5 linked regions of the Callithrix jacchus genome follow. The protein of the gene in region 3 interacts with the protein of the main gene of each other region in a pairwise test. Links are inferred from orthologs where the notes say so. Each region holds a gene or a part of one and is shown on either strand. Other genes may lie near its edges.

What was found.
Region 1: the proteins of PACSIN1 (region 3) and COBL interact in binary tests that used the Homo sapiens proteins (3 or more experiments, as listed by UniProt). The link is inferred for Callithrix jacchus from reciprocal best matches to the Homo sapiens genes PACSIN1 and COBL.
Region 2: the proteins of PACSIN1 (region 3) and COBLL1 interact in binary tests that used the Homo sapiens proteins (3 or more experiments, as listed by UniProt). The link is inferred for Callithrix jacchus from reciprocal best matches to the Homo sapiens genes PACSIN1 and COBLL1.
Region 4: the proteins of PACSIN1 (region 3) and EHBP1 interact in a two-hybrid assay, tested with the Homo sapiens proteins (2 studies listed by BioGRID and IntAct). The link is inferred for Callithrix jacchus from reciprocal best matches to the Homo sapiens genes PACSIN1 and EHBP1.
Region 5: the proteins of PACSIN1 (region 3) and ANKRD24 interact in a two-hybrid assay, tested with the Homo sapiens proteins (2 studies listed by BioGRID and IntAct). The link is inferred for Callithrix jacchus from reciprocal best matches to the Homo sapiens genes PACSIN1 and ANKRD24.

Annotation. Positions count from the first base shown.
Region 1 is NC_133512.1:18,653,819-18,658,163, reverse strand, and holds the start of COBL (protein cordon-bleu), read left to right. Parts: upstream 1-1,539; 5' UTR 1,540-1,714; coding exon of another isoform or gene 1,715-1,755; intron 1,756-4,345.
Region 2 is NC_133507.1:64,780,068-64,784,228, forward strand, and holds the start of COBLL1 (cordon-bleu protein-like 1), read left to right. Parts: upstream 1-1,344; 5' UTR 1,345-1,444; coding exon 1,445-1,532; intron 1,533-2,061; exon of another isoform or gene 2,062-2,251; coding exon 2,252-2,369; exon of another isoform or gene 2,370-2,748; intron 2,749-4,161.
Region 3 is NC_133505.1:42,732,217-42,736,524, forward strand, and holds the start of PACSIN1 (protein kinase C and casein kinase substrate in neurons protein 1), read left to right. Parts: upstream 1-1,476; 5' UTR 1,477-1,642; intron 1,643-4,308. UniProt on the Homo sapiens protein: Plays a role in the reorganization of the microtubule cytoskeleton via its interaction with MAPT; this decreases microtubule stability and inhibits MAPT-induced microtubule polymerization.
Region 4 is NC_133515.1:51,123,011-51,126,559, forward strand, and holds part of EHBP1 (EH domain-binding protein 1), read right to left. Parts: intron 1,684-3,549; coding exon 1,545-1,683; intron 1,325-1,544; coding exon 1,218-1,324; intron 1-1,217. UniProt on the Homo sapiens protein: May play a role in actin reorganization. Links clathrin-mediated endocytosis to the actin cytoskeleton. May act as Rab effector protein and play a role in vesicle trafficking.
Region 5 is NC_133523.1:3,967,445-3,970,019, forward strand, and holds the end of ANKRD24 (ankyrin repeat domain-containing protein 24), read left to right. Parts: intron 1-672; coding exon 673-798; intron 799-1,387; coding exon 1,388-1,453; intron 1,454-1,688; coding exon 1,689-1,766; 3' UTR 1,767-2,073; downstream 2,074-2,575. UniProt on the Homo sapiens protein: Component of the stereocilia rootlet in hair cells of inner ear.

The sequences.
Region 1 (4,345 bases), on a different chromosome or scaffold from region 3:
ATGCCATTGCCCAGGCTGGAGTGAAATGTTGTGATCACGGCTCCCTGTAACCTCAACCACCTCAACTTCACCGTAGACTCAGGCTATCCTCCCTGCCTGCCCCCATCTGGAACTACAAGTGTGTGCTACCATGCCCTGCTAATTTTCTGTTTGGTAGAGTGTTCTCCTGAGTTGTACAGGCTGGTCTCCAACTCCTGGGCTCAAGACTCCTCCGGCGGTGGCCTCCCTGAGTGCTGGGTTTACAGGTGTAAGCCACTGTGTCCCACTCGGAGTTTTAGACACAGAGGCCAGGAAAGTCTTCCTGGGGAGACCACGGGATAAGAAGGAGCAGGAGGAGAGCACTATGGAGGAGCATCCCAGCCAGAGGCCCTGAGCCGGAACAGGGCTCCACTCAGGTGGAGAAAATGGGAGGTTGGGCTGCGGGGCAGTGAGCCCCAAGGCCATCGCAAGACTTCGGAAACCGTTCTAGGTGGGAGCTAGGGAACCCCCAAGATCTGCCAGCCACGGCAAGGACTCACATTTTGCATCTAGACTGGTCTCCCTCCTCCTTCAGTTAATGAGAAAGCAGGGGATCAGAGGGAGGAAGGCTCCGCAGGCCTCCGGATACCTCATCCAGTGACAAGATCTCAAGGGAAGCAACACCTCCAACGCTGATCACCGTGCAGGCCTGGCCTCTTGCTGGTCTTTTACTCGAGTTATTGAAACCATATGAAACTGCCACTTTTATAGGTCAGTCCATCATACCAACCAGGATCTGGGAGAGTGGAGGTGAAGTTCCGCACATCAGGGACCTCTGGCTGGCTTGCTCTGGGCCCCGGGGTGGCCGGCAGGACCTGCATATATGCCCGCCAGCCTGCATTGGAGTGGTAGAGTTGTGCCACAGAAGCGCCCAGCTGATCAGGTGCATTAACCCAGAGCGACTGAGTTGTTAGCAAAGCGAGGCCGCGCTCCAGCCCACATTGTTTCTGATTCCATGGGACCCGGTGGGGCCCCTAAATCTGCATTTCTAACAAGTTCCCAGGTGTTGCTGACGCTCGCGGTAGGGACTCCCACTTTGCGACCCCACGCACTAGACATCTGTTGCTCGGATAAAGGTCAGAGAGCAGCGCCGGACACACGCTTCTCACCCTCCAACCTCTGCGCTCCGGCGCTGGTCCGCCCACCTCGCCCTAGCACGGCCTCTAGGCTCCAGGTGGTTCCCCTCCCCCAGCTCCGCCCGGGAGGGGACGGCCCCGGGTTCCCCCGCTCCGCCCAGACAGGGGCGCGCTCCCCGCAAAGTGGAGGAGCCCGGGGATAAGCCCTCTGCAGAGCCGCGGTGTCCGTGCAGGGGCCAGGTGTCAGGAGACTATTTCCTCGGACGCGTGCCCCGGGACTGGCCCGGGCTCGGGTCGGGGCAGGCGGGGCGGGGCGGGGCGTGGGCGGCGCTCCGGTGGGCGCGGCGGAGCCAGCCGGGGCGGGGGCGCGGCGCACCTTGCTCCCGGCGCCCCCGCCCCGCGCCGCCGCCAGCCCCTCCCAGCGCGCCCGGCGCCCCCGCCCGCCAGAGACGGTTCCTGCCCCTTCCGTCCGCCCGGCTCCGCCGCTGTCCTCCGCCGGCCCGCGTGGGAGGACGATGGGTCAGCGCGGAAAAAGTGAATGAGGGCGGCAGCGGTGGCGGCCGCAGCCAGCGCCTAACTCGCGGGGCCCGATCACCGCCAGTGCCCCAGCCCCCGGCACCATGGACGCGTCGCGCGCCTTGGCCGCCAAGCCCCCGACCGGGTAAGCCGCCCCGAGGCCAGGAGGGGTGGGGTGGGGCGGGGGCTTCGCGGGGCTCGGACGCCCGCGCCCGCACCTCGCGCTCCTGGGCTGGGCGCCCTCTCTGCTGCCCCAGCGGGTGCTGGTGATAGTGGTGGAGCAGGTGCTGCGGTGCTGGTTTTGGGTGCTGGTGTTGGGTGGTGGTGCGTGCTGTGTACTTTGGGCGCCCGGGTCGTTGCCCAGGTAACCGTGTCCGGCTAGGGCCGGAGCGCACTTTTCGCGCTGGGTGGCTTGTGTGCCAAAGTCCTTATAGGGGTCCCCGCCAGCACCACCCCCATTCAGCTCGGAGCTCCCCTCAGGCCCCCCGAATGTTTGCCCTAGGGGCGGTGGGGGAGCGAGGGGACTCCCGGCCTTTGACTTCGGCAGCTTCCGTGCGGGCTTGTCCCCGGCCGGAGTTCTGACCAAGTCTTCCCTCCTCCGGTGGCGGCACCCCCTGGGTCGGCTCTCTGGCGGAGTGGAGGGTAGGGCTTCGCGGCCACCCGGGCCCCACGCTCTCGGGAGCTACTCGGATTGCCCGGAGGGTTTCATGGTAACGGCTCTCCCTCCCTGTCTTTATTCCAGTGGAAGGGGCGCGCTGGTGGGGCCAGGCCTGAGGCGCAGATCCCCGAAGCGGACCCGCGAGTCAGGGCGCCCATCCCTGTCTTCGCGATTCGGCTTCTGCCCAGACCTCTCCCAGTTTCTGTTTACCGTCCCCACACCTTGCGTGCAGGGATTACACGTCACCTTCAGGATTTGACTCGCAGAAAGAGTAATTTCCCTCATACAGCGCGAGCAGCCCCGCTCTTTATCCGGATCCCGCGCCAGGTGCCCGGCATCCCGGCGGGCCGCGCAGGCTGGGCCCCGGGGTCGCTCACAGTCCGGGAGGACTTAGTAGATTTCAGCGCCGCGCGCCGGGGACCTTCGACCTCGCTCGCTCGCCTGGAGCACATGTGTATGAGTCTTGCAAATGGAATGAGGGTTGGGGGAGCCCTGCACCTGCTTACCGAGTGGGCCCACTTTCTGCTATGGCAACTGGACTTGAGGGAGGCAGCTTTGGGGACAACAAATCTTTTTTTCTTTTACAGTTGTGTCCTACTGACTCACCCTGCCCATGTGCCCATAGGCAGACGTGTTGCCCAAGTGTATAAAAGACTTTCAGTCGGGCTCTTTTTTAAATTTTAGAGTTTTTCTTTAATGCCAGGAAAAAGTGAGCCCGGTTAGCAAATCGAATAATCCTGAAGCTGAGGAAAGTTAAAAAGAAGTTTTCTTTTCTTTTTCTTTCTTTCTTTTTTTTTTTTTTTTGCAGTGCACTTAGCGGTGGTTATGTAATTCTCTTTGAATAAACAAATTCCCCAGAAAGAAAATAAATGTGGGAAATCCTTTTTCATGGTAATAGACATCCCAAAATAACATAGGGAAATGTGAAACAGAGGTATCTTTAAATCTGTGGCTTTCATAGCCTATTAAATGAACCTATTTAAGGAGACTGAATTATTTTGTCACTATTACCTTATAAATAAATATGAAGACAGAGAGAACATTTAAAAGGCCGGCAAAACTGTATTCAAAGAGTATCTGTAAAATCCTTGAACGGAGTCTGATGATAGAAGTGAAAGGACGGACCCTAAGTCGTGGCACTCTTTTCAGCCTGGTACTGTGTAGCGAGAGGTAGTCCAGGGCTGGCCTTCTCACTGCCTCCCGGAGCTCCGATTGGCCTTCGCATTTGAATGGCAAAGGAAAGCGAAGGATTTTTGCTATGGAGAACCTGAAATTATTACTCCTGATGCATTCAGTTCTTTTCCCTTACTCATCCATAGTCCAGTTTTCTTGTCCAGACATCTTTGTCCAAGAAATCTAGACATACTATTTTTAACTTCTGTTGTTCTCAATTACTTTGTCATTTTTTAATACTTTCAGTGAAGAAACATCAAGAAAATACTAATATCCTTATATTTCTTCAGACAAAAATTACATATTTAATAAGAAGCAATTTTGTGTTCAAATCTGAAGAAATAAATAGTATTAGGTCTTTGAGCATTTTATATAATTATGGTGTATGCTTGCTAATTATAAAGGTTAGATATTGCCGTCAAGTATCTGACTTTAGCACATTACTGGTGGCAGTCAGAATCTACTGGCTCTTCACTGAGTTTACTCCTTTGCAATGTGCTTGAGGGAAATTTGTTTTCTATCTGATTCTGCAACTGTTGATTAAAAAATCAAACTTTCGGTAAGCCACCCTCTTCCCACGTGATAACAAACTGATACGGCGGAGCTGCGGCTGTTGCTGAAACGACCACTCCTCCTTGTGTTGTGTACAAAGAAGCTAGACTGGGTGCAGTGAATTAAGATTTCACCCTGTAAAGTATGGCCTACAAACGCTCTTCTAGAGGTTTACTGGAGGGGAGATAGGTTGGTGAATGTAAACTCACTGACTCTATGTCTGGCTAAATTATTAACAGGTAGTTATTAGTTATCTTTGTGAAAAACACAAGTACACATTTTTACTTGGATTGAAATTGCATGCTTTTTACTAGGAATTTTGTTAAAACAGTGACGTATGACTACTTGACTC
Region 2 (4,161 bases), on a different chromosome or scaffold from region 3:
GGTGAAACTAATTAAAGATTTTATCTTGTCTTGTGATTGAAAGATATGACTTTAAAGAAGTTTCACTGTTACTCAATATTTGTTGCAAGCAACTGTAAAAGCTTGCATAGCTTCACATTCAGAAGCATAAATGATTCATGAAATTGTTTAACCAGAGTTATTATTTAAAGACTAAAATCCAGGGGTATTTAAATAAATTGCATTACTATTAGTTAAGCTCTCTAAAAGCAACTTTTTCTAATATGGTTCCAGTATTGTAATCCAAATGAGTCATGTGGTTTTTTCTTTTTATGTGCAAAGATGCACTGAAAGGACTACATAATGCACTGGAAGAAATAAATACTAATGCCTGCCTATGATAGGCAAATAGTACATTGCTAGACATTCAGTTCAGCAATCTTTTTTTGTTGCTGCAATGGATAAACAACTAAAGGATAATTAATATTTAATTTTAATATCTTCCAACTGTTACTCTATCAGTGGCTAACACAGGTTTATTACTTGATGTCAGTACTACAGCAGAGGTCTTCTTCAGGGTGTTCCTTCATGTAAGATCTCTCCGTCAGTTTAATGCAAATATCTGTTTTTAAATGTAATTTTGAGTTGATTTCTTAATGTCACATTTTTTTCTGAAAACACATTTTTGGTTCCATCAGAATGGCTTGCACCTTAAAACAATTGGCACTTATAAAAAATATAAAATATGCAAATATATTACGGTGGTACTAATGTGATTGCGGTTTTGTCATTACTTTTAAAATGGCAAAAAGCCGCAGTAACTTTTACCTAGTACCTGTCAGGTGTAAAGAATCATCTAAAGGGCATGCACGTGGATACTAAAACGTACAAGCACACAGCTGTGTATGATTCCTTTATGCTTGTAACACTTCCAATAAGTGAATAAAATCTATCACTTAATTCTTACAGACTGTCATCAGACATACTGTTGACCAGTTTTCATGTCACAACTGTTATAGGCTTTTACAAAAAATGCCTCTGAAGACAGGCAAGCTTAAACCTGCCACCAATTAGTAAGATCTGTGTTACAGGTGCACTTTTAAAAGAATGGCAACCTTAGAGGTCAAGTTAAAAATACAAGCTAAGAAAAACACACACACACAATCCTGGACGTCGAAGGTCAGACTGCAGGCCCCACTCTGAGAGTTTCTGTCCGCATTCCGCGGAGGCCCCAATCCTCCCCTCGGGTCCTGGCCAGGCAGGTAACTTCCCTTCCTCCCCACCTGTCCTGCTCTGGCGCAGCAGGCTTCCCGAAGCGCAGCCCTAGCGGTGGGAATGGGAACACCTTGCCTGGGAGCTTCCTTTCGGTTCAGCTTCCCCCCAGCTGGACCCCAAACCCCGAAGCCCTGGGGGAAGGAAATTCCAACTCGCTCCCGGCCCACCCCCGCCCCGTTCCTCTCTCCGGCTCGCTGCTTCCCTCGCTCAGATGCCGCCGAGCTCGTCCCCACTTCTGGGCAACCGTGCGGCAGAGGCGGCGGCGAGCTCCCGGACTCCCGGCAGGGAAATGGGGCAGGGTGAGTGAGCGAGCGGGCTCCAGCGAGGCCCCCAGCGCCCAGCGAGCGCCCACACCCCGCCCGCGGGGCAGGGGAGGCGCTGAGTCGGCCCGGCCCGCTCTGGGCTAAGCCTCGCAGGGGCTGCGGCTTCTCCATTCAAGTTCTGGCTTGAGAGCCGAGCTGCCGCCTGAGGGCCGGGGGAGGGAAGAGTAGGAGAGGAAGTCGCGAGGGAGAACAGGAGAGCTACTGTCTCCTTCGGAAAAGAACGTAGGAAGGAGCCTTGGGTGGGAAAAAGAGAGATCAGCCCTCCCAACTTCTCTTCGGGAAAACTTTTCCCAGGGCGTTTTGTTTGTGCAAACTCGGCCGGAGGAGCCCGGGAGTGCGCTGCCGGCGTGGCGGCGTTGCCCGTGCACCCGGCCCGCTCCTCCTCCGCTTCCAGCCGGGGCAGCTCCTCTCCCTCCCAAAGAGGCGCCAAATGGCTACTCACTAAACCCCACGGGGCGGGGGCTGCAGCGCCACCTCCTCCTCCGCCGTACTCCTAGAGCTTGCTAGACCTTGCGGCGACGGCGGCGGTGGCGCCCGAGGGTTTGGAGCCTCGGCCCGCAGGTGGAAAGCGCACCCGGGAGGCGGGCCGGCCGGGGCTGGGGCGGCTCGGGCGGGCTCTTGACGCTCAGCCAGCCCCGCTCCGGCCTCGTGAAAGCGCGCGTCCCGCCCTGACCCGCTGGCCTCTCCCACCCCAGCAGTGACGCGCCGTCTCGGAGCTGGAGCCCGCGCAACGCCCCGCAGGGCTATGGACGGCCGAACCCCGCACTCGCAGGACGCCCAGGCGGCGCCCACGCCGCTCGCCGCCCCAGCCGGGTAAGCATAGAGCGCCGCGCCGCCGCTCCCCGGGTAGGGCGAGGACCCGAGGCCGCGGCGGTTTCACCTGGCTGGCAACTGTCTGCCCTGCCGGCGGCCTGACTCACTGGCCGCCCTCCACGCAGCCGGGGAGGCTGCTTCTTCCCGGCCTTCTCGGAGGCCACCCGGGCGGAAGGCTGGTTTTTGGTTGCCTTCCTACCGGGGCTGCCCGGATTGCTGAAGGCCAGCTGAATGCCAGGAATTGGGTGAGGAGTCCGGGAGCAAAAACTCTAACAAAGGGCCCCTTGTTTGGGCTCTGGAGGAGCGGTGGACGATACCTGTAAGTGAGCTCCTGGGAAGAGGGCAAAAGTTTCCTTGGCCATGGGCGAGGCCCAGGCAGGTGAGCAGTGTCAACGTGACTGTAAGGAGTGGGCTTTCTGCAAGAGGGTGGAGGGCGACGGAAGGTGTGCCAGCTGTCAGCCCGCTTGACAGTTCCGGGAGCGAGCGGGGTGCGCGCCTCTGATTGGGGGTGTGTGTGTGCCTGTGGCCAATTGCTGGTGCCAAAACCAAGCGCAAATCAGATTGCAAACAACTCTACTTTTCTTTTTATCCTCACATGTTTGAGAAGAGATTGGAGGGGAAGGGGCTGTCACATGATGAGTTAATGTTAAATGAAGCATGTCTTCCTGCCAGATATGCGAATAGTCACCTTGCTAAGTATTTGAGTAAACAGTAGTGGGAACAGGTAGTTCTGCAAAAGATGAAAAAAACCCTAAAATAACCTTGGTCTTAGTAAATAGTTCAGGAGTAACTTGGATGCTAGTTTAGCTCCTGAAGTGGGAAACCCCTTTGATGTAGTACACCTTTTTTTTCCCCAAGTGTTCTCCCAACGTGGTTTATTTTCTTTACCTGAACGCAGAAATGTCCTAATGAGAATATGAGCATTCTAGAAATAGAAACGTTAAGGAAAAATCGACGTTGTCACTAATGAATGAGACTTGTACGGTTTTCCTGATTTAAGAGTGTGGAAGTCATTTTTCCCTGGAACACGACAGGCGTTTCCTTAGAAGCAAGTCACAGCATGTGTATTCATCAGAGACTATTCGAACATTGGCAGTTGTCTAGAGGAAACATGGAAAAGTCTCAAAGCAACATGACTAATCTAAAAGATATTTAGTATAATTTTTACATAGAGGAAACATGTATATGAATTAATTCTTTCATTTTGCTCCAGTTAGCTTTCTCCTCTCCAAATAGTCCTCTTGCTTTTGACTTTCATTTATCTTTCCCCAAGTTTTTCATTGTTTAAATTATCATATATTCTTCCATACGTTCTCACGTTAAGATGAGTAAAGAAATATATTGGTAGAAAGATACTGAGCATAAAAGCAAGGTTCCTAAGTGGAGCTGCAGAATTATGTGAATTGATGATGAGACAGATTTCCGATTGTAAAATAAGATAGAATTAAATTAGATTTTGAAATGGATTAGGTTAAGGAACTTTAAAAAACAAAGATAGAAAAACATACCTGCTTTCACAAAATACACCCATGGGTGTTCAGAAGTCACTGGGGACTTTTAAATAAATTGATGAGGTCAGATGGCTCTGTGTTAAAGAAATGGAAAAACACTTTTAGTGGCAAGGATGACTATAGTAAGAGCCTTCAGATGTTACTCTTGATTTTCTGTTTTAATGTAGACATAAGGTCTTGCTTGCTATGTTCCCTAGGCTGATTTTAAATCGCTGGCTTCAAGCAATCTCACCTTGGCCTCCTAAAGTGTTGGGATTACCAGCATGAGTCAGTGCACCCAG
Region 3 (4,308 bases):
TTTTTTTTTGAGATGGAGTTTCACTCTTGTTACCCAGGCTGGAGTGGAATGGCGCGATCTCGGCTCACTGCAACCTCCGCCTCCTGGGTTCAGGCAATTCTCCTGCCTCAGCCTCCTGAGTACCTGGGATTACAGGCACGCGCCATCATGCCCAGCTAATTTTTCGTATTTTTAATAGAGATGGGGTTTCACCACGTTGACCAGGATGGTCTCGATCTCTTGACCTCGTGATCCACCCGCCTCGGCCTCCCAAAGTGCTGGGATTACAGGCGTGAGCCACCATGCCCGGCCCCAGAGAATTCTTAATGCATGAGTAAATACAGCATTCAGGCATTCCACGGGGTCACAGGGGCATGAATTTCAGTGCCTCTGATGAAGTGTGTGGAGAGAGAAGTCAGGAACTATAAACGTGGTTATTCCAGGCTCGAGCAATAGGGAGTAGTGAGGTCTGCAGCAAACTGGAGTCTGCATGGCTATCTGAGGGGCTCACAGTCAAATAAATCACCGCCCCCACCCTCCAGTCCCGACACACATAAAGGGCAGGGACCCATTCTGGTGCTGAGCAATCTCACTTCCTTTCCCTTCCTCCAGCTTTATTTTTCTTCTCTGTGCATACCACTTTAAAACACTCTTAGCTACCGACACTGAATGTCTGTCTTCCCTCGCACAGGTGAACTACGAGACGGCAGAGTTTTGCTTTGTCCCCTGCTGCAGCCCAGCCCCTCATCAGTGGCTGGCACAGAACAGGCCTTCAGTAGGCATGTGCCCCGCTACTCCCTGCAGCTTCCGGGCTCCAGGCAGCATTCAGGACTCAAGTCGGGAAGAGTGAAGGCCGTTGAGGACTTGTTAGGCCCCAACTCCCCCAGAGAACCCCAAGGGGACGGGAGCTTTGAGTTTTTTTGGCGACAGCCGGTCCTGCTGGAACTAGGACCTGAGGGTTAGTGACTCTGCCCCATGGGGTCACCGGGCAGAGGCTGCGGGCGGGAGTGGGCATCGCTGGGGCGGTGGTGCAGGCTCCCACGCACCTCTTCAACATGCCCATCACACAGGCACCCTCACGCACCAGGGGTCGCCGAGGCTCCGGAGCAGAGAAAAGGCCAAGGCGGTGGGGAGATGGGGAGACAGGCGGGGAGCAACACCCGGGGCTCCGAGCGCGCCAGCTGGGAGGGCTGGGAAGGAGGGTGCACGGGAGGGCTCCTGGCCCGCGCGGGCCCGCGGGCAGCCCCCGGAGGAGGGAATCGGGCAGGACGGCTGGGGCAGGGGGCGGCTGAAGCAGGGGGGAGCCGGACCCCACCCGCCACCCCCGGCGCCTGCCAAACTGGTGGCTGCCTCCCCGGCAGCCGCGGCGCGTCCACCTGCGCAGCCACCGCGCCGCCCTGCCCGAGCTGCCATTGGCTAGCTAAAAATGCCTCTCTAATCTGCGCGGCTCTGTGCACGCCTCCTCCTCATCCTTCCCCCCCGCTCCGCCTCGGCTCTGACCTTCCTCCTTCCCGCAGCCCAGGCGAGATCCCAGAGAGACGCGGTGGCGGTGGCAGCGCCAGCCCCTCCTCCCCCGGGAAGTCGGCCGGGCTTGAGGCCGGGCCCCAGACGTCCCGCTTCGCCCCGAGGCGCCGCCAATGGTGCCCCGCGCTCCTGCCCCCAGGTAGGGGGTCTGGCCCTTGAATAGAGGGTGGGGGGTTATGTGGGGGGCGTAGAGTTAGGGAGTGCGTGTTCGAAGTGGGCGCCGAGACTGGCATCTCCCTGGGCCAGAGCCCGGGGCGGGTTGGGCTGCTGTCTGGAGAGAAGTGCGTGCGCGCCCGGGGATGCTTTGCTGGGACCGGAGTTCGGGGGCATCACCCAGGCAGTGCTAGGATGCCCCTGCGCTGTGTCCATTGTGGGGGGACGAGCCGGCAACGGAGGCCTTTACCCCAGGAAAAGCGGCGGAAATAGGTTCCTGGGGAAGCTGGGGCCTGGGCTCGGGCGGTCCGGGTCTCTGGACTGCTACCAGAAGGGGTGGGTGGGCTGATGCCAGCTTGGTGCGTAGGCTATTTATGGATCAGAGTGGGCTGGGGAGAAACACAGCAGCTGATGCCTGTCTGGCTTATGGTTAAAGGTATTTCCTTCTGCCCCCTACCCCTTCCCCCACAGCTGGGATGGGAGGGGGAGGAGGCAAGAAGGAGGTGATGATGCTAAAAGGCCCGCAGTTACAGAAGCCACGGGCTGCTGGGCACTGCCCACCCCTGCAAGCCCCAGGCCACTTGCTGCCTGTTGAAGCTGTCTCTGCCCCTTATTTTCACCTTACAAGAGGCTATGAAAAGGTTAAAGGGTCATCAGGGTGTAGGGGACATGGTGGCAAACCCGGGAGCTTGGCCAGACCCAGCTTCAAGCCTCAGCTGCCCCTGCCCACAACAGCCCAGCTCTGCACCACATAGGTAGTGACATATATGGCCGCTTTTTTCTAGGCTCAACCATAAATAACCCACATTGCCCCAGCCCCTGGCATAGCTGGGGTGCAAACAGGACTATCCGTCAGTGATTTTGCTTCCACCCTCCACCGTGGCCTTTCCATTACATGTCCAAGTCACCCCTCTCAAGCCGCCCTTCCAGGCAGCTTCCCTGATACTTGCCCCCTCCCCTGTGCTCCTGGACTGCCTTGTGGCTGGGTTATTTGTCTTGTTTGTCTCCTTCTGGAGCAGAGTTATCTTCAGGGGAATCTGATTCATCTCTGTCATTGCCCCTGCACCAGAGCAGGGTTTGGCACCAAGTAAATAATTTGTGGAATGAATGATTGAGTGACTGAATGTGAACTCTGGGAAATAGCTGGCAATCCGAGGGAGGGGGTTGAGCCCACTCTTGGGCTTTCTCTCTATCCCCCAGGACCAAAGAGCCACCCAAACCAGACAGTTCTCTTGAGGCCCCTCCTAAGCCTGGAGTTGATGGGCAGCTATGGCTTTTGGAGATACTGTTGCAACCTGCTGGCTCCAGAGGGTCTTATGGGCCCCTGGTTTGAGTGTCCAGGCCTGGTCCTGGCTCTGGGGAAGGTCTGATGTGAAGGTCTGGCTCTCCTCAGGCTGCTGGGTTAGCACTTTCTTCCCGGGGTGCCAAGCTTAGAATAGGGTCTCTGCCTTGGTCGCAGCCCTTGGGAGGAAAATCCAGGTCAACAACAGGGAAGCTGGGAAGGCCCAAGCCAGGCCGTCCTCAGCGTCTGGGGTGTTCACAGCAAGCTCTCAGGGGTCTCATGACCCTCGTGTGTGGAGGAGCAAACCCAGTTCTGAGGAAGAGGCTGCTACCAAGGGTTCTGGCCCAGCCACGGGCCTGTGTCTGTGAAGGATGGCAACACCTCCAGGCTTAGGAGGGGCCTAGAGAGAACTGTCTGGTTTGGGTGGCTCTTTGGTTGTGGGGAATAGAGAGAAAGCCTCCCTCCCTCAGGTTGCCAGCTATTTCCCAGAGTTCACAGTCATTCAATCATTCATTCATTCCACAATGGCCCATGTTGCTATTTGACGTGGCTGTGCCACCGTCCCCATGCCCAGTCTAACTCTTCCTTCTTTGTTTTTTTGGAGATGGGGTTTCACTCTTGTTGCCCAGGCTGGAGTGCAGTGGTGCAATCTCGGCTCACTGCAACCTCCACCTCCCAGGTTCAAGTGATTCTCCTGCCTCAGTCTCCCAAATAGCTGGGATTATAGGCATGGGCCACCACACCTAGCTAATTCATATTTTTAGTAGAGATGGAGTTTCACCATCCTGGCCAGGTTGGTCTCGAACTCTTGACCTCGTGATCCACCCCCCTCGGCCTCCCAAAGTGCTGGCATTACAGGCATGAGCCACCATGCCTGGCCTCCGACTCTCCCTTCTCACTCTCACTCTGCCCCCCAGCTGCCCTGAGCTGCTTTCAGTTCCTCAAGCAAGTGGGGCTTCTGTCACCTGCAGGCTTTGCACAGGCTGTTCCTGCCTCCTCCTCTCCCTCCTCCTTCCCACCCAAATCTCTCACCCTCAGGAGTTCACTGAGACTCCTCTTCCTTCCAGAAGCTTCCCCAGCTTGGGTTGGGAGCCTCACCCATGAATCCCCTTCCTGCAGCCTGGCTGCCTCCCCTGGGAACCCTCCCTTCATACAGTGTCCTCTCGGGCTTCTGATCACCCCTCCCTGCTGGGCTGTGGGGTCTGTGGGTGCAGAGTCTGTGTGCTGTTTCCAGTGGCCCCTGGCGTGGCACAGAGAAGTCCCAGCTCTGGCTTGTGGAGTTGAGTGAGTGAGTGGCTACTGGTCTCATCATCTGCTTTCTCTCCTCACCAATATCAGGACACATTTTGCATTCTTCTTCTCCCATTAAG
Region 4 (3,549 bases), on a different chromosome or scaffold from region 3:
AAAAAAATTACAATAACAGAATAAATGCCAACAGTAACTTTAAAATCTGGGATAATCTGGTGAATCCTTCTTGAATCTGACAGACAGCAGAGCATTTTCAAAAGGGATGTTTTCTTTTCTCATTCCCATATAGACTGACAAAACAAATATAGTAGTTTACAAAGACAATACAAAAAATATATATATAAGGAAGCAGAAGTGATAAGCAACACATAAACTTCATTGCTCTTACTGATTGGTTCAGTTAAAAATAGAAAGAAATTTCATAATCAGGTTTCTTTAGTGTGAGTACTCAGTAGAGTTAAGTATTCTGTAACTTAAAAGTTATACCAAATACTTCATCAGGATTTTCAGTGAGCTCTTTTTTTCTAGCTCATACCTTTTCAGGTCTTCTAAAGTAAGCAACTTAAAATGAGATTTTAGAGTTCTAAAATGTAGTTGGTGACACGGAGTGTAGTTGTAAGGATTTTAAAATCCAACAAAGACTATCTTAACACTGAAAACAATGAAAATATTTAGAAAAACTGTAGATAATTTAAAAAGTAGTACTATTAAAGAGAGCTATGCTTCCAGACAAAAATTCAAGTTAAAACTTGTTCTTCCTGCTTCTGTCCCGCAGCTGTCCATCAAAAGCAGCTTTCTCCCTGCGGTCTATCAAATATTTCCCTCACAAATCAATTTTACACATGATCAGCCCATACCCCTACTGAGCTGAACCTCCCCGTTAATTAAGTGAAGAAATTACCATATATATTATATTAATGCAAACATCATTCAGCTAGTAATTCACGGCTGATCTGGATAATGGAAAGGTTGAACACCCATTAACCCAAGCCAACAAAATGGGTTGGCTGAGAAATTCTAGCAGGTCTCATGTGACTTTTCCCTCTAACTGCAGCTCTGCGGTATCTGCTATTGTAATAATTAAAATCCTCCCGGTAGATCAATACTGGAATCTCTTTATGGGAAGTGCCCTGATGGAAATGTCTCAAGGAAACTGGGGCTGTGGAACTCTGAAAAATTCATTTTTTTTTATCTGACAATTATCACCACACTGCAGACTAATTCAACAGTGCACCCCTCTCACTCTGCTTTGAATGCACTGGAGATTGACATCTTAAAAAACCTAACATCTCATTTTAACAAATAAAGGCACTATTTCCACATACAGTTTGGAATTATCAGCAATCATGAAACCACACAAAAAATTAATATACATTAAGCACTTCATCTTCTGATGGCTTCCTCTGAGTTTCAGTTATCGCTGCCTTCTCCTCATTTCCTTTCTTTGTATCTTCCTGTATTGATCTCTGCCTTTTCATCTCTTAAAAAAAAAAGAGGAAAGACATGTAAAATTATTATAAAGCTTGATATTTGTGTATTGAAATGTAGATTTACATTACCAGCTTTCATATATATATACACACATATATATAAAACACTATATATACATTTATTTTATATATACATATATATATGTGTATATATATATATATAGTTAAATAATAAGAAAGATGGGAAAATATTTTAAAAAGTATTTCTACCTGGTCTATTCTCAATATATTGGCTGAAAGACTGAAGTTGAGTTTTTCTGACTGTAGAATCTTTGCTGAACACAACAGGATTTCTAAAACGTTCTGTTGTTTTTTGTAATCGTTCAGTCTGGAGATCTTCTGTGCCATTCTAAAAGTAAAACAACACATAATAAGAGAGTTCTGATCTCATAAACATAAAAATACGCATTAGTAAGGCAACTTTTACTGATTTAGGATAACAATGATTTAGAAACTTTTTGCAAGAAAAAGATTTTAAAGCACTTTCAACAGCTCAACTGCAAGTTCTGTTGCCTGTAATCACAAACTTTGGGACACATGGTTTTACTCTTGATAACTTTGATGCAAATGTGCCTTCCCCCAGTGATACATATCATTTAAAAGCCATGTTGCCTCCTATTTCCCCCACTATTCTGTGTCATCGGTTTGTACAGCCCCACAGACTTGTATGACAACGAGAACTAGTTTCTAATTTTATGTCCATTGAGATAAACCACTAATGCTGGATGAAGGCTAAAAGGTAGGATTATAATACTACCCCACTGAACTGCATTTCATCAGCTATAACTTTCCAAAGCCAGATTTGTAAGTAAGCCCTTTACAGCTAAGGAAACTACAATTATCTTTTCCGGAGCTTCCTATGTTAATACTGGTAACAAATTCAAATGGTTCTATCAACAAGAAATATCCCAGAAGACTGAACCACTGCAGTGTGTGGAAGCTGCAGATACCGAAGTGCTGTGTACCAAACAAATATTTCATTTTATACCTAATCTTTTATTATTTTTATTAAGTGTTTTGAAAGTAAATAGGGAAAGGCTAAGATGCATGACTAATAGCTAAGCCTGCTGAATGCTGAAACTGGTTATCAAAAGCTACCAAGACTTTGCCCTTCCCTTGCATTGAGACAATCGGTAATGAGGGAGCCCTCCAATGGCCTATTCTCTAGCCTCAAGGAGGCCTGGGATACAGAATCCTCAGGGGAAGGTAACAGTTTATCCTTTTCCACAAACACAGAATGCCTCATTTATAAATGTGTAAACTGCATTTTATTAAAAAAATAAAAACCCAAATCAATGTTGAAAGCTTCAAGAGAACAGATGGACTCTATATGTTTTTATAAACACCATTTTCAAAATCTTAACTAAAAGGATTCATACAAAGAAAAGCTGTTTAAAGCACACCTTTTGTTGGAATAACTTTAAAGACTACTATTTAAGAGTGTTTTGGAAAGCAAAACCAATTTTATCTGTACAGATAAAGCATAATAATGAAAATAACACTATTTCATTTTTTTAAAGTTATCTAATACATTTATCATTAACATCATGCTTATAATATCCTAGCTATATAGTTATGATAGAAACAATTTTGGCTTTGATTCTATTTTTTTTTAAAGAAAAATAGAGTTCTACTGTTATAACTATCCAATGGTCTAAAACTCGAGTCTTTACCAAAATAAACAAACACAGCTAAATTTTTTTAGGCCTGGCAACATGCTAAAATATCAGTGCGATTAGCCAGCAAATCCCATCTTAACAAACCTTTTTATGACTAGGGACTTCTGCCACTTTACAAATGTATTCCCCTAAACCCACTAATTCAGTTAGCCTTTTCAATCTATTGTATTATTCTTAGGCCAGCTTCATTCTGCATTAAATCCACTGCAGAAAGCTAAATTGAACGCAAAAAAATCAGACCTGATCCAGGCTTCCTTTTGTTCAAAGATAGAGACCAAAAGTCCTCTGGTGCTGCCATACACTTTCATCACCAATTTATAGAAACTGACAATATAGGGGAAAAGCAATGAAAGTCATTGTTTTGGGACTTCAAAGCATCTCTGTGTCAGGGGAAGGAAATCCTTTCAGTCAGCGGGGCAGTCCCCATAGTCCGCAGGTGGGTGAAAAGTTATACAGGACTGGAAGTGCCCTAAAGCTAGAGAAATAGTAATCACTGTGAGGGAAGTGGGGGAACATGTGGGTGGGAATAATATAAA
Region 5 (2,575 bases), on a different chromosome or scaffold from region 3:
GCGATCTGCCTGCCTCAGCCTTCCAAAATAGTAGGAAGACAGGTGTGAGCCACCACACCTGGTTTCAGAAAGTCCCCATCTTCCAGATGAGCTCACTGAAGCTTTAAGAGATGTGGTGACTCACACCTGTCATCCCAGCACTTTGGGAGGCCGACGTGGGTGCGTCACCTGAGGTCGGGAGTTCAAGACCAGTCTGACCAACATGGAGAAACCCCGTCTCTATTTAAAAAAATAAAAATATGGGAGGCTGAGGCGGGTGGATCACGAGGTCAAGAGATGGAGACCATCCTGGTCAACATGGTGAAACCCCATCTCTACTAAAAATACAAAAAATTATCTGGGCATGGTGGTGCGTGCCTGTAATCCCAGCTACTCGGGAGGCTGAGGCAGGAGAATTGCCTGAACCCAGGAGGCGGAGGTTGCGGTGAGCCGAGATCGCGCCATTGCACTCCAGCCTGGGTAACAAGAGCGAAACTCCGTCTCAAAAAAATAAAAATAAAAACAGAAAACAGGCTGTGGGCCAGGCATGACCCTCAGGCCAGAGTTTGCTAACCCAAGAGATGGGACCTTCCCTTGAAAGCCTTCCTCCCTGGCCTCTTCCTGCGGCTTCAGAGAGGTCCCTACCCCCAGCCCTGGGCTGAGGGTGACCACTGACAACCCCCCCACCCTCAGATCACAGAACTCTCCAAAGAAGTCTTCAGTCTTAAGGAGGCCTTGAAGGAGCAGCCGGCTGCCCTGGCCCCCCCTGAGGTGGAGGCTCTCCGTGACCAGGTGAAGGGTTTACAGCGGCAGCTGCAGGTAAGAGCTGGGCCGGGCAGGGGCAGAGGACCGTCAGGGCAGAGGAGTCCAGATAAATATTTACCAACCAGCTTGGCACAGGCGGGAATCCCAGGAGAGGGCTGGGGTAAGCAGGTGGGGCACACGTCACGTGCCCAGCGTGGCCAGGAAATATTTTCTTTATTTTTTTTTGAGACAGGGTCTCACTCCCTCACCCAGGCTGGAGTGCAGTGGGAAGATCTTGGCTCACTGCAGCCTCTGCAGCCTCCGCCTTCCAGGTTCAAGCAATTCTCCTGCCTTAGTGTCCTGTGTAGCTGGAATTACAGGCACACACTACCAAACTGGGCTAATTTTTGTATTTTTAGTAGAGATGGGTTTTCGCCATGTTGGCCAGGTCTCGAACTCCTGGGCTCCCCCCAGCCTCTCAAAGTGTTGGGATTACAAATATGTGCCACTGTGCCCAGCCATATTTCCATATTTTAGCAGCCTGCCATCGCCTGGTGTATGCCATCAAAATACAGGCTTGGGGTACAAAGGGCGCTTTTTGGTGTGTCTTCCTCAGCGGGGAGGTGGTCCTGCTTTTCTGAGTGTCCCTCCCTCATACCCACAGGAAGCTGCCAGGGACCACTCCAGTGTGGTGGCTTTGTACAGAAGCCACCTCCTGTACGCCATTCAGGTGAGTCGCCTAGCTCCCAGGTGCCTGTGTGGCTTTGGGTGTGCCATTGTTGCTCTCTTGGCCTCAGTTTCCCCTTCTGTACAGTGGGAGGCTGGTCCCAGGGAGCGGTTCATGGCATGTTGGAGCCTGCATCTGAGCATTTCCCTCCTGGCTGGCTTGGTCTGTGGGAGTGGCAGAGGGGCCTGGGGAAGCCACTGGGGGTGCACTCAGGGTCTCCCTCTATTCCCCATCCTAGGGCCAGATGGATGAAGAGGTGCAGCAGATTCTCAGCCAGATTCTGCAGATGCAGAGACTCCAGGCTCAGGGCCGCTGAGAAAGGCCGCGCCCAGTGGCCACACAGCACACCCACGCAGGGCCTCGCCCCACTGCAGTCCCCTTGCAGACCCACTTCACTTGGCTTCACCCAGCCCCATCCAGGCCTATGCACTTGGAGGCCAGCCTGGGTCCCTGCCCCAGCGTCCCCAGCTGGCTCCATCGCCCCACCTGGTCTCTGCACGCACACACTGGTCAGTCTGGACCCAGGGCGTGACTGCCCTCCTCTTCCACCAGAGAATCTGTGAGTCCCTGTGTCCTCCACATCCAGACGCCAGCCCAGGAATAAAGGCATTGTGTGCACAGGACCAAGGCGTGTGGTGTGGTTGCTGGGCTTCTGCTGCTGGGAGGGGAAGGGGTGGCCCAGAAAAGGAAGCATTCATGCCCCCTCCCTCTGCCCCACCCAGCAAATCAGCCATCAGGACAAACTCAACCCTTTTTTTTTTTTTTTAAATGTGGAGTCTCGCTCTGTCACCCAGGCTGGAGTGCGGCGGTACACAATCTTGGCTGACTACAACCTCTGCCGCCCGGGTTCCCGTGATTCTCCTGCCTCAGCCTCCCGAGTAGCTGGGACTACAGGTGCCCAGCACCATGCCTGGCTAATTTTTTTTTTTTTGAAATGGAGTTTTGCTCTTGTTGCCCAGGTTAGAGTTCAGTGACTAGATATTGGCTCACTGCAGCCTCCACCTCCCCGGCTCAAGCAATTCTCCTGCCTCAGCCTCCCAAGTAGCGGGCATTATAGGCACCTGCCACCACACCTGGCTAGTTTTTTTTTGCATTTTTAGTAGAGATGGGGTTTCACCATGTTGG